Linked DNA regions of Stegostoma tigrinum. The protein of the gene in region 1 purifies or fractionates together with the protein of each later gene. This does not show direct contact. Links are inferred from orthologs where the notes say so. Each region holds a gene or a part of one and is shown in the gene's direction. Other genes may lie near its edges.

What was found. Proteins that work in one complex are often made in the same cells at the same time.
Region 2: the proteins of tyrosine-protein phosphatase non-receptor type 1-like (region 1) and abcd3a purify together in Homo sapiens (affinity purification with mass spectrometry; 3 studies listed by BioGRID and IntAct, with this or other methods). This does not show direct contact. The link is inferred for Stegostoma tigrinum from reciprocal best matches to the Homo sapiens genes PTPN1 and ABCD3.

Annotation. Positions count from the first base shown.
Region 1 is NC_081372.1:40,247,038-40,254,133, forward strand, and holds the start of tyrosine-protein phosphatase non-receptor type 1-like, read left to right. Parts: upstream 1-4,072; 5' UTR 4,073-4,188; coding exon 4,189-4,245; intron 4,246-7,096. UniProt on the Homo sapiens protein: Tyrosine-protein phosphatase which acts as a regulator of endoplasmic reticulum unfolded protein response. Mediates dephosphorylation of EIF2AK3/PERK; inactivating the protein kinase activity of EIF2AK3/PERK.
Region 2 is NC_081361.1:84,453,326-84,460,736, reverse strand, and holds the start of abcd3a (ATP-binding cassette sub-family D member 3a), read left to right. Parts: upstream 1-4,402; 5' UTR 4,403-4,475; coding exon 4,476-4,585; intron 4,586-7,411. UniProt on the Homo sapiens protein: Broad substrate specificity ATP-dependent transporter of the ATP-binding cassette (ABC) family that catalyzes the transport of long-chain fatty acids (LCFA)-CoA, dicarboxylic acids-CoA, long-branched-chain fatty acids-CoA and bile acids from the cytosol to the peroxisome lumen for beta-oxydation.

The DNA of each region.
Region 1 (7,096 bases):
TGGGGAGAGGGTTCTGGAATAAATAGGGAGATAGGGGGAGGCGGACCAAAGATGGAAAGAAGATAGGTGGAGAGAAGAGTATAGGTGGAGAGGTAGGGAGGGGATAGGTCGGTCCAGGGAAGCCGGACAGGTACCGCCCCCACCACAACCGCCCCAAGAGGATCCCCCTCATTCTCACACAGCACCCCACCAACCTCCGGATACAACGCATCATCCTCCAACACTTCTGCCATCTACAATCCGACCCCACCACCCAAGACATTTTTCCATCCCCACCCTTGTCTGCCTTCGGGAGACACCACTCTCTCCGTGACTCCCTTGTCCGCTCCACACTCCCCTCCAACCCCACCACACCCGGCACCTTCCCCTGCGACCGCAGGAAGTGCTACACTTGCCCCCACACCTCCTCCCTCACCCCCATCCCAGGCCCCAAGATGGCTTTCCACATTAAGCAGAGGTTCACCTGCACATCTGCCAATGTGGTATACTGTATCCATTGTACTCGGTGTAGCTTCCTCTACATCGGGGAAATCAAGCGGAGGCTTTGGTGGTATCTGGGATGTTGTTTGTAAAGTATGATTCCATGAGTATGTCAGGCTATTGCTTGACTGGTGTATGAGACAGCTTGCTCATTTCTGGGATTAAGAAGGACTTTGCAGAGTTGACAGGGACATTTCTGCTATTGCCTTTTCCAGTGTCTAGGTCAATGCCAGGTGGTCCTTTCAGTTTCAATTCTTTGTTGAGACTTCATGATGACTGATACAACTGAGTATTTCAGAGGGTCAACCACATTGCTATGGCTCTAGAGTCACGTGTAAGTCAGACCAGATGAGGATGGCAGATTTCCTTCCCTGAAGGGTATTAGACATTAGTTATTCAGATAGGTGCTTCCAACAATTAACAATGGCTTTAGTGATCATCAGAAGATTAACTCCAAATACTTCAAAAACTCCAAATCTGTGGTAGGATTCGAATCTGAGCCCCCAAACTTCAGTTAATTTCTAGATTAATAATCTCGCAATATTATCACTTGATCATCATCTAAAGGCTTGGTAAAAGTATCTTTATCTGGTTGGCAAGGCATAACTAGTGGGGTGGGGGGGGCACAGGATTCAGTGCTTGGGGCCCAACTACTCTCAATCAATATCAACAATTTGGAAGCAGGGATAGAAAATACTATGACCAAACATATAGATGACACTGAAATAGGTGATAAAGTAAGTTCCAATGAGGAAGCTTCCAATGACCCTTCGTCACTGGACCCAAAACGTTAACGAAAACTTCAGTAGGTCTGGAAGCATCTGTGAAGGGTAAAATCAGAGTTAACGCTTTAGGTCCAGTGAGGAAGGGTCATTGGAAGCTTCCTCATTGGAACTTACTTTATCACCTATTTCAGTGTCATCTATACATTTGGTCATAGTATTTTCTATCCCTCCTTCCAAATTGTTGACATTGATTGTGATTAGTTGGGCCCCAAGCACTGAATCCTGTGTCCCCCCACCCCACTAGTTATGCCTTGCCAACCAGATAGATACTCTTACCAAGCCTTTGGATGGTGACCAAGTCATCATTTCTGTTTTTGCCAGTGGAGACTTTGCCTAGTTGCAATGAGGCGAGGCATTGAGCAGAAGGGTTTGAGATTCCTTAATATTTTGAATGTCTCTTTCAAGAAATGAAGTAAGGTGTCACCGTTTTGGCATTTTAAATATTAACTTCATGCACACTGATGATACTCGAGAGCAGGAAGTGCCCTTCCAACCAAATGTTGGATATCTTAGGTTACATATTCCAGAATTAAGGAATGAACATATTTTGCTTTAATTTCTGTAAAATCCTTAGAGTGTGGTCTGAAAGACAAAAAAACTTTACACTAAAAATCTGATTAACTGACCAAAAACTTACAGATCAAACATATTAATATGATTTTCTTAGCATTGAAAAATCCAAAGAATTTCAGAGGTCAGTTGCCTTTGTTTCTGGAATGGTCAGCAACTAAAATGGTGAGATCAAAGACACTTAACTGTCCATTTGTATTTTTATCATGATCTATACTTAGGAAATAATTGGATCAAAGTTTTCTTGATGACAGGACAGTTTCTATTTAAAATGCTGTTGTAGGCCAATCTGCACAGCTGGGGAAATGGATAAATTGAAGTTCATCCAGAGATTTCTTAGCCTGGATAGAGAGTTAATATCTCAACTTTAACATCTGTATTACAGAAGTCATTTTGTGGCCCACATTAACTACAAAAATGTTATTAGGTTCACTGGTAAAAATCAAGATGGTCAATGAACAAATCACCAAAGTATGGTATTACTTTGATTGCACTTTTATTCATAAGTCTTGCAGACTATAAATTACAAAATTCAGATTATGTGCTAAATGGCTGCATCATCAGTAATTACTGTATTTTATTTCCATACATTTAAAGTTGAATACAATCATTTGTTAATGCGATACTTTTCAATCTTTGTAGCAAGAAACCGTGGAGGTTCTCTCTGTAACCTCTAATGCAATGATCATGGTTAAGAGATAATTAGTTGTTCAATTAGAATAGTACACTTCTCACAAACCACATCATGTTGAGTTTTCAGTTTCATGGGATGGGCAATTTGTCCCTCTGCCATAGAATGGGGTTGGGTGAAATATTGAATTGTGACTGATTAAGAAAAGATTAGAGATGTTGAATAATATACTAAAATGAGCTGGAAATTAGAACAATATAGTAAGATATATCCAGAAACTTTCAGGGCGTCAACTTTGAGTTGCAAGTTTTTTTTTTAAATTGGTTTTTCAATCTCTTACAATCAATGATAACAATCTCATGATGAATATATTTATGAAGCTTTCATGATTTGTCTAGTTTCCTAAGAAGAACCACCGTTTAGACGAGAGGACCATTTGAATTCAATGGTCTTGTCACAATTTTGTGGCCTTTTCTCTCAATTTGTACCTCTCCAGAGATAAGAGCAACTTAAAAAAAATCAGAAATTGAAACTGAAATAGGTCAAGCACCAACTGTACAGAGAAACATAAGTGATGTTTCAGGTCTAACATTTATGATCACCTTTCCTCGACAAAGAGAAAAATCTGAAACGAAAAAGAAATAAAGTGAGGATACAGAGTTTATGGCCAGAAATTTTTAACTTCATACTGAATGCAGAAGATAGTGCCCAAGCAACCAATAAGCATGTTGTTTCTTAGGCTTACGTTAAGAAATAACTGATTTGGCCTTTCACTGAAACGCTGCAGCAGGTAAGTGATCTTGGGTAACTTTCTGAAAGAAACACAACGCGGGGATCAGTCAAAATTGTTGATTTATTCATGTCTTCAACAGGACTTTCCAAACAGTCCCGCTACCTGGCAAATTGTTTCATAATTCTTTTAAAACTAAATGTTTTTAACCCTGAAAGACTTTCAAATCCTTCCTGTCAGCCTGGAGGACACTTACGTCATGGATAAAGTAGAGATTAATGAACTTGATCATATCATTAGCAACGTTCAATGATACAAGAACATCACTTTGCCATTATTGTGGTTACTGTTTCTTAGCTCAGGCAATTCTGTTAGATCCACCTACCGGCATACAGACTTTACTTTGCCATGAGCTCAGGTTTGGTTTGGATTTAGACACAGTTATGCTCTAACGAAGCCCCGAACACATTATCGGCTGGACTTTCTTTCCAGAATCTTCAAGCTGGCCCGCCACCAGGGCCCGTGGGATACAATCGGAGATTGAAGAACTACATCTCCCAGTAGGCATCGCGAAGCCCTCCGTGGATGCGGTATAAACATCGAGGAGCAAAGCATCCCGGATGTATGGAGCTGCACCCAATGTAAACAATTCCCCGTTTTTATGAAGCAATATCTGACTTTTCGGACTGAGCAATGTATTTCGGGCCGCTAGTCCGCACAGTCCTCTGGGATTTGGTAGGAAACGTCATTTCCTGGACAGTTTACTACAATTCCCATTAGGCAACACGCAAAGCCGTCCTGCGTTCCGTATTCTGATTGGTAGGGGCTGGTGCCAGTCATGGGTTGATGGTGTGTGTTTCCGGTGTGTGGTCGAAGCCCTCCTGCTGCGAGGGAGTTGAGATGAAGTGGTAGGAGCGGAGCGCGAAGGGGAATTTACAGCGTTAGCGTGAGGCCCAGAGTGGAGAGGAGACAGGCACAGCGCGCTTGCAGTCATGGAGCAGGAGTTCGCGGAGATCGATAAACAGGGCAACTGGGCGATGCTTTACCAGGTGAGGGTAGTACGAGTGTCCGGGATCGGGAGGGCGAGTGAGCGAGGCTCGGGAGCTTCCACCCCGCAGCCCGGGGGTTCGAGTTACATGCTGCCGGGAAGGAAGTGTAGACCGGTGGGTGCAATACCTGGGTCTGTATATTGGCAGCTTATGTGTCTGTCTTGATTCTGTGTGTTAATCATGTCCCGTCGGTGTGGGAACCGCTCGTGGATTGTGGCGGGGTTTGTCTAATTAGTTAGTTCAGTCAGCAACCACTCCAACAAATTATTGTGCAAACACTATAACCAGAAACTGTCAGTCTACTGTCTTGGTAATAAAGTGACTCACACCGACTTTTGAGAGCAGCATGGGCAAATGGTCTTTGTAGTTGCCGAGGGTGGTTTTTTCCTATCTGGAGGGTGAATTTGCTTTTTTAAAGCATCCGGTAACATTCATGAAATACATTGTTCCCTGATTTCGTTTGCCAACTTCAGTTATTAAATCATATCCTGGTTTCATTTTACAACAGTAACTAATTAGCGGTAATTATTGGTGGTTATAATAAGGTTAATTTTTGAATTAATTTTGACCAAGCCTAATAATGATCGTTCCCCATATCTCCCACGCTGTCTTGACGCTCTTTTGCCTGAGCATGAGGATGTCTCTTCGTGAAAATACTGTTGCAACTATGAAACGATGATCTGCAAATTCTGAGTCTCTTTCTGTAGGATGTAAAAATGAACTTGGTTGCATTTATTTAGCATGATAGGTTTTTTCACTTTCCTAAACTTGGGTGGACAAGTAAGTAACTTACAAATGTTTTGTCCTAGTGAAGTATGCAAGGCCTCAGATCGCTTATGTGCATTCCTTTGTACTAACCAGACCTAAAAAATCTACAAAATTATGAAATAAAAACTGAAAGAACTGTGGATGCTGGAAATCAAAAACAAAACAGAAATTGCAGGAAAAGCTCAACAGGCTTGGCAGCATCTAGAGAGAAATGAGCACTAACGTTTTGGGTCCATTGACCCTTCCTCAGAACTGATAGCTAGGAAAAAGTTGGTTTTCATGTAGAACGTATGGTGGGAGAGGGGCTAAGAGTAAATAGTAGGTGGGGAGAGAGCCCAAGGAGAGAGAAGAACAATTGGACAGGCAAAGGAGTGAATAATGAATATCCTAAGAGATATAGATATTAATCGGGACTATTTGTAATAGTAGACCATGTGATAACAAGGCCTGATGTGTGAGGGTTGGGGTAAGGACATGGGAGAAGGTGCCTCACGCTCTAAAATTGATCTTGATATTGAGCCCAGAAAGCTGTAGAGTTCCCAAGTGGAGAATGAGGTAACGTACTTCCAGCTTATGTTGAGCTTTGCTTCAACAAGCCTGAGACCAAGATGTTGGCCAGGTAACAAGGTGGTACAGGTGGTATATTGAAATGGCAGCCAACCAGAAGCTCAAGGTCTTTTTTTTGTGGACAGCTCGTAAGTGTTCTCTGAAGCAATCACCCAGTCAACCCTTTGTTTCCCCAAATTAGAGAAGACCACATTGTGAGCGGTGAATGTAGTAGACTAGATTAAGTGAAATGTGGATAAAGCACTGCTTCACCTGGAAGGTATATTTGGGTCCTTGGATACTGAGGAGGGAGGAAATAAATGGGCAGATGTTACACCTTCTCAGGTTGCTGGGGCAGGTGCCATGGGGCTGTGGGGAAGTGTTTGGCATGAAGGGGGAGTGGACGAGTGTGTCCCAGAAGGAATGGTCTTTGCAGGAGGCTGAAATGGAGGGGATTGGAATATGTCTGCTGTTGGCATCCCACTGGAGGTGGCACAAATGGATATAGATGTTGTTGGGATAGTAGGTGGGTGAATGGGGTGACCCTAATCACAGTTGTGGTAGGAAAGAGAAGGGTGAGGGCTGACGTTTGGGAGATAGGTCAAACCTGGCAGAGGGCCCTGTCAGCTACCGTGCTGGGGAATCCTCGGTTGAGGAAGAACATGGCTATCCCCTTGTTGAATTTGACATGTTCAGAACAGATGTGATGGAGGAACTGGGAGAATGGAATAGTCTTTATAGGATGCAGGGTGTATAGTCAAAGTAACTGTGTGGGTTGGTCGGTTTATCATAGATGTTGACAGCCAATTCCCCAAAAGTAGAAATAGTCTGAGATGTGGTAATAGGAACTGCCAGTGCTGCAGAATCTGAGATAACAAGGTGTAGAGCTGGATGAACACAGCAGGCTAAGCAGCATCACAGGACAAGGTGTAGAGCTGGTGTCCTGCTCCTCTGCTGCTTGGCCTGCTACGTTCATCCGCCACTACGCTTTGTTATCTCATAGTCTGAGATGGTCCGGGAGAAGGTGAGGGCTGGGTGGAAATTGGAAGCAAAATTGATAAACTATTCCAATTCTGGATGAAAGAGGGGAGCAGCACCAATGGTATCATCAATATTCTAGAGAAAGAATTGTGGTTGGGGGCTGGGATTTGACTGGAACCAGGAATGTTCCACATACCTTACAAAGAAACAGGCATACCCAGGGCCCATGAGGGTACCTATGGCAACTCTTCTGACCTGAAAAAAGTAAGAGGAGTTTGAGAAGTTGTGCAGAGTGAAGATGGTGGAGGAGGGTGGTGGTGAATGGGGACAGTTCATCCCTTTTTTCCAGAAAGAAGTGGAGAATCTGGTGACCACCCTGATGGGGAATGGACATATAAAGGATTGCATCTCCATGGTAGAGAGGAGCCCACAAACTAGAAATTTTGAAACTAATGTAAAATATCAGAGAAATTGTAGATTTAAGTGAGAAGGGAATGAACAAGGGGAGAAAAAAATTGAATCGAGTTAGGAAGAGCTGAGTTCTGCAGGGCAGAAG
Region 2 (7,411 bases), on another chromosome or scaffold:
CCATGAAACTCCTATCTGGATTTGACTTTCCAAAATGCAACACCTCACACTTATCTACATTAAACTTCATTTGCCATTTCCCGGTCTACTACCCCAGCTGATCAAGATGCTGCTGCAATTTCTGATAACCTTCCTCACTGTCCAGGACACTGTCTATTTTGGTGTCACCTGCAAACTTACTAATCAAGCCTTGTACATTCTCATTCAAATCATCGATATAGATAACAAACAGCAATGGGCCCAGCACCGATGCCTGAGTCACACTACTAGTCACAGGCCTCCAGTTAGACAAGCTTCCTTCCAGTATTACTCTCTACTTCCTACCACCAAGCCAATTGTGTATCCAATTTGCTAGCTCTACCTGGATTCCAAGTAATCTAGCCTTCCAGAGTAGCCAAACATGTGGAACATTATTAAAGGCCTTAATGAATCCATATAGACGTCTACTGTCCTGCCATCATCAACCTTCCTGGTCACTTCATCAAAGAACTCTAAGAAATTTGTGAGGCATGATCTCCCATGCTCAAAGACTTGCTGACTACTCCTAAGTAAACCCTGCCTTTCCAAATGCATTTATATCTTATCCCTCAGAACTGTCTCAAGTATCTCCCTACCACAGATGATAAGCTTACTGATCTATAATTCCCAGGTTTTTCTTTGCAGCTCTTCTTGAATAAGAGCACAACCTTCTCTGCTTCATTTGTGCCTAACAACGATGCAAATATATCAGCCGGGAACCCCACAATTTCTTCGCTTGTCTCTTGCAGGGTTCTTGGATATATCTGGTCAGGACCACGAGATTTATCCAACTTCGTACATTCTAATTCCCTCTTGTTTTCAGCGCAAGCCAGAGTGCTGACAGGAAAGGAAGGTAGTTTTTGTTTCACCCTGTATAAAAACTTACCTCATGCAGCAAGCGGCCCTCTTGTTTTCAGCGGCGGGTGTGTGGAGGGAACGCGAGCTAGGAAGAAACACGTAAATTTGGGCATTGGCTAAACCCGAAACACTACACGTGTAGTGTCTCCCACCTGACCTCCTCCTCTACCAAAAAAGACTGTGTGGAGGTTTGGTAAGTTAAGACTTTTTTTTATTCTTCCTTTGGAAATCTCGCGTACAGGGATTGGAGGCTGGGGCAGTTGCCTGTTCCACTTGTAAGGATGTGGGAGTTAAGGATCACTGCTGGTGTCTGCTTCCAGACTCTAATATATGTGAAGTGATGCCTCTCCTTTGCTGTTGCCCTCTGCTGGACCGAAAAAAAATTGCCTTTTTAATTTTGTACCCTTAGAGTTGAAAATGAAGACGCACAAAGATCCTAAGATAATAAAATGTGAGGCTGGATGAACACAGCAGGCCAAGCAGCATCTCAGGAGCACAAAAGCTGACGTTTCGGGCCTAGACCCTTCATCAGAGATGCTGCTTGGCCTGCTGTGTTCATCCAGCCTCACATTTTATTATCTTGGAATCTCCAGCATCTGCAGTTCCCACTATCTCTCACGCACAAAGATCCTTTCAGCTGGGATCAAAGACAAAAAATAGAAGGATTAGCTTCTCCAATTTGAGGTGGATGCACTTCCTCTGAAATTTAGTCACTATATGCGTCAGTCAATTTCTGCTAGGGAGAAAACTTGTCCTCCTCACTGGGGTGTGTTTTTGTTGACTGCATTGATTGCAGTCTGATGGAGGATGAATTATTAAGATTAACAGCTATCCTCTTTATTTTCTACGGCTCTCGATGTTCGTTTTGTGTTTTCTCTTGATAATTGGAATTGATAATAAATCATCAGCTTCCCATCTGCCGAAGTTGATAGAGCCCATTTTCATGGAGGCTTTCGGCATTGTCTCTAAAATGTTTCCTTTGCTCAGAGTGAAGGCCCCATGTCAGCAGTCTTGATCAGGGCGTTCTGACGATGTTCACTGTCCATGATAGCTGATGTGAGATTGTCATGACCTTTGTACTTGACAGACATGTCTTGGAGGAAATTGTATCAGAGATAATGGGAACTGCAGATGCTGGAGAATCCGAGATAACAAAGTGTGGAGCTGGATGAACACAGCAGGCCAAGCAGCAACTCAGGAGATCGAAGGTGAATAGAGGAGAAGATAGATGGCGAGGAGAGTATGTGTGGGGAGGTAGGGAGGGGAAAGGTCAAGGGGGCGGGATGAGGTTAGTAGGTAGGAAGTGGAGGTGCAGCTTGAGGTGGGAGGAGGGGATAGGTGAGAGGAAGAACAGGTTAGGGAGGTGGGGACGAGCTGGGCTGGTTTTGGGATGCAGTGGGGGGAGGGGTGATTTGGAAGCTTGTGAAATCCACTTTAATACCATTGGGCTGCAGGGTTCCCAAGCAGACTATTAAGTTGCTGTTCCTGCAACCTTCGGGTGGCATCATTGTGGAGGAGGCCCATGATGGACACGTCATCTAAGGAATGGGAACAAGAGTTGAAATGGTTCGCGACTGGGTGTATAGGTGTTCTGCAAAGCAGTCCCCAAACCTCCGCTTGGTTTCCCCAATGTAGAGGAAGTGACAACGGGTACAGTGGATACAGTATACTACATTGGCAGATGTGCAGGTGAACATCTGCTTGATGTGGAAAGTCATCTTGGGGCCTGGGATGGGAGTGAGGGTGGAGATATGGGGGCAAGTGTAGCACTTCCTGTGGTTGCAGGGGAAAGTGCCGGGTGTGGTGGGGTTGGAGGGGAAGGAATTGGGAAAAGGGGATGGAATTTTTGCAGGATGGTGGGTGGAAGGAGGTGTATTCTAAGTAGCTGTGGGAATCGGTGGGCTTGAAATGGATATCGGTTTCTAGGTGGTTGCCTGAGATGGAGACAGAGAGGTCCAGGAAGGTGAAGGATGTGTTGGAGATGGTCCAGGTGAACTTGAGGTTGGGGTGGAAGGTGTTGGTGAAGTGGATGAACTATTCGAGCTCCTCTTGGGAGCACGAGGCGGCGCCAATACAGTCATCAATGTAATGGAGGAAGAGGTGGGGTTTAGGGCCAGTTCCCAATTCCTTCGCCTCCGCCTTGTCTGCTCCCAGGATGAGGCATTCCACTCCCATACATCCCAGATGTCCTCATTCTTCATGGACCGCAACTTCCCCCCCGCAGTGATCGAGAACATCCTCGACCGTGTCTCCCGCATTTCCCGCAACTCATCCCTCACACCTCGTCCCCGCAATAACCACCAAAAGAGAATCCCCCTTTGTCCTCACATACCATCCCACCAACTTCCAGATACAATGCATCATCCTCCGACACTTCCGCCATCTACAATCCGACCCCACCACCCAAGAAATTTTTCCATCCCCACCTTTGTCTGCCTTCCGGAAAAACCACTCTCTCCGGGACTCCCTTGTCCGCTCCACACACCCCTCCAACCCCACCACACCCGGCACTTTCCCCTGTAACCGCAGGAAGTGTTACAATTGCCCCCACACCTCCTCCCTCACCCCCATCCCAGGCCCCAAGATGACTTTCCACATCAAGCAGATATTCACCTGCACATCTGCCAATGTGGTATACTGCATTTGCTGCACCCGTTGTGGCTCCCTCTACACTGGGGAAACCAAGCAGAGGCTTGGGGACCGCTTTGCAGAACACCTCCGCTCGGTTCGCAATAAACAACTGCACCTCCCAGTCACGAACCATTTCAACTCCCCCTCACATTCCTCAGACGACATGTCCATCATGGGCCTCCTGCAGTGCCACAATGATGCCACCCGAAGGTTGCAGGAACAGCAACTCATATTCCGCTTGGGAACCCTGCAGCCCAACGGTATTAATGTGGATTTCACAAGCTTCAAAATCTCCCCTCTCCCCACTGCATCCCAAAACCAGCCCAGCTCGTCCCCACCTCCCTAACCTGTTCTTCCTCTCACCTATCTCCTCCTCCCACCTCAAGCCGCACCTCCATCTCCTACCCACTAACCTCATCCCACCTCCTTGACCTGTCCATCTTCCCTGGACTGACCTATCCCCTCCCTACCTCCCCACCTATACTCTCCTCTCCACCTATCTTCTCCTCTCTCCATCTTCGGTCCGCCTCCCCCTCTCTCCCATCCCCTTTTTCTGACGAAGTGTCTAGGCCTGAAACGCTGCTTGGCCTGCTGTGTTCATCCAGCTCCACACTTTGTTATCTTGCGCGCGCACACACACACACACAGTATGTCTTTCAGCTTTGTTGATAAATCTGAGAATAAGAACTCGGGATTTAAATGCATTGGCAAAATGGATACTGCATCCCATGCTCAGATTTAGCAGTGCAAAGGTTATGAATTAAAAGGAATAATCGACGAATAGGTGCAAATTCTTTAGGTGACGTCTTGCCCAGAACTTGCGTTCAGGTGAAAGTCCCTTCAGCGTTGACCGTGCCCTGAACTGCGGTCGCTTAGCAGACGATGATTGACATTTGGAGTGACGCTTGTCCCGGCAGCGCTCGCGCCGCTGTCCCGGTTCCTCCGCCGTTACCGCTGTTAGTGCTGCAATGGCGGCTTTCAGCAAATTAGTGACAGCCAAACACTCTGCGCTCGGAGCGGCAGCTGTCTTTGTACTCTTTGCGTTGAGTCGAAGACGGGGCAGAGGTACATTCCCCAGGTACAGGATCGCGCTTGCTCTTACTGACCATTCGAAAGCCGGGTTCCCTGTCGCGTGTTACTCGAGGCCGGGGATTTAAAAACGGCCTAGCCACTTTAATCTGGAAAGACTGGAGTGACAGAAGCTGACACACATGACAGTACATTGATTGAAGGAAAGGTCGGCCCCGCGATCCGCTGTAATTTTATTATCTTTGATGTGCGATTTGTTTTACTTCATCGGCACTTGGTTATTGCTTTGCTGTATCTACTGTCGAAAGCAACCTTTCTGAAGCATTGTTTTAATTCATCCTCTCTTTGGATTTTACCATTAATTGAGAAAACTGTCATTTGCAATATTTTGTTCGCGATTGCTGAAAATTTAATGCTTTCTCGCACTAAAACCGAGCAATTTAATGGTCCAACTACTCAGCTTCATTGTTAATTCATACAGTTTAGAGAACGGTGCCGTAACTCTTCACATTTGGTTATTGCTTGATTACTTAGCGGTGATTGTTCCCTTTATTTCATGGGATGCGGTATTGCTGGCATGAACATTGTCGTTGATCTTTGTGGCTAACTGGAGCATCAGCCATCTTCTGGAGTGTCATGTAGGCCAGAATAATGACTGCAGATTTTCTTCCCTAAAGCGCACCTAGTGAACCAGATGAGGTTTGTTTTTACAACAGTGGAGTTGTGAAATTAGCTTTTATCGCCAAGTTTGAGCATCGGCCTGGGTTCTAGTCTAGTGACATTGCCATTATTCCACCACCCTCCTGTGATTATTGGTTGAATGCTTGTTCTGGGTTCAGGACCTAAATGTTGAATGAACTTCCAGGCTATGATTCAGCATTGATTTACGTTGTCTGATGTTATAATCTGATTTTTGATGAGCTGGCCAAGAGTGCATGTTCATTGAAATGAAATCAAGAACTGTGGGTGTTGGAAATCTGAAACTAAAACAAAAATGTTGACCTGAAACATTGACTCTGTTTCCTCTCCACAGAATCTGCCAGACATGCTAAGTTACTCCAGCAATTTCTAGTTTTGTTGTTGCATGCTCACTGTACATTTAAGATGGCAAGCAGGTGGGTAGGCTGACAAAGCTGGAGGATCAGCAGGAGGTGTTCCAGCACAGAGATTGGGAAATGCTGGTACCTCTAGTGTAGATTGGAGAAGGAGAAGTCACTTCAAGATGGAAGTGGTAGCTGAAGACATTTTGAAAAGTTGTAATATTTATTTTGGCAATATATTTTTTAAAAAATTCCTTCGCCCCCACCCCCAGCCCCAGAGGGTGCTTTTGCCAACTGTTTTAAGTTTGTACCCTCCAGTTACTGACTGTCCTGCCATTTTTGGGAAGCATCTGATCAGTTCCTGTGGTAGAGGTGAGTACAGTTAGAACATTTAAAAGATCTTTGGTACATGAATGGCCAATGGGACTAGTCCAGTTTTGGAAACCAGCTCAGCATGGACAAGGTGGGCTGAAGGGCCTGTTTTTGTGCAGTGTAACTTTGATGTCTATGATGTTGTGCCCCTCTGGGGCTTGGAAGATGGCTTAAACTTTTGATTACGACCCGTTATTGAGACTCCTCCTTTGTAAGCATTTTGGTATTACAAAAACTGTTTGGACATGTTATGACCCTCACTGGCCATCATAGCCGGTGGTTGATCTTGAAACCAGATTTCCTCAAACAGTAGTATATTTTACTGTTTTAGCACATTATCAGTTAATAAGGTCAGGTATTTTGGAGGCTGGAAATATATTGGTAACTGGAAGGATTTTCAGTATAAGGAAGCATAGAATAACTGTTTGAGTTGAAAATATTTGTCATTATTTTGCATCCTCATTTCAATCTCAGCCTTTGCCAAACACACTTATTTCCATCTCCAGTCTCCTAAGTCACCCTCACTGTTAAGTGAAATCTGATTTAAACTTGTAATGTCTCTTGACTTGATATTTCATAACTGCAAATGTGCAATGTTCCAAACCTCTTCCTCCTCAAATTTCTGCCTGAAGCAGGCCCTCGGAAAATATTTGGTGAAGAATGGCAAAGTACTGTTGTTTTTTTGATTATGGGTAGGCCGCAAGGGCAGATCCCTAGTCCATCTGTTAAATCTCCTCTTAACCTTTTCTGCTGTAAGATGAGCAATTCTACCATCGTTAGTCTCTCCATAAAACTGAAGTACCTCATCCCCGATACCATTCTAGTAAATTCCCTGTTTTATCTTCTCCACGACTTTTGCATTCAATATTTTGATGAATTTAGAATTAAAAGCACGATTCCAGCTGAGGCTGAACCAGTGATTTTTCAGAGGGTTCGTACAAACTTCCTTGCTTCGATAATCTGTCACTTTGATAAAGCCGGTGATCCGAATACATTTTTTTAACAAATTTTTCAACTTGTCCTGCCACCATATTAAATGTTTTATGTGAACCCTCACATCTCTCTGTTTCAGTGGCCCTTTAAAATTTTGCGCTTCATTCTCCTTATTCTTTGAACAACAAAAAAAAGCATTCTTTCACGCATTGCCTTGTCTAGCTTTCCACTAATTTTATGCAGCCTTGAAGTTTCTCTCACTAATTATTACATTTCCAAGTTTTATGTCAGTTGTAGATTCTGAAATTATGCTACCTTCACCCACGATTCAAGATCAGTGTTCCTGAGACACACCACTCCAAACCTCCATCTGAAAAATGAAATTTGACCATGACGCTGATTTCTATGTCAAACAACTTTGTGTCCACACAGTCATTATCCACATAATCTCGTGCCTTCAGTTTTATTGGCAAGTCTGTGATGTGATTCTTCATCAAACATTTTTGAAAGTTCATATATGTAGTTTTAAA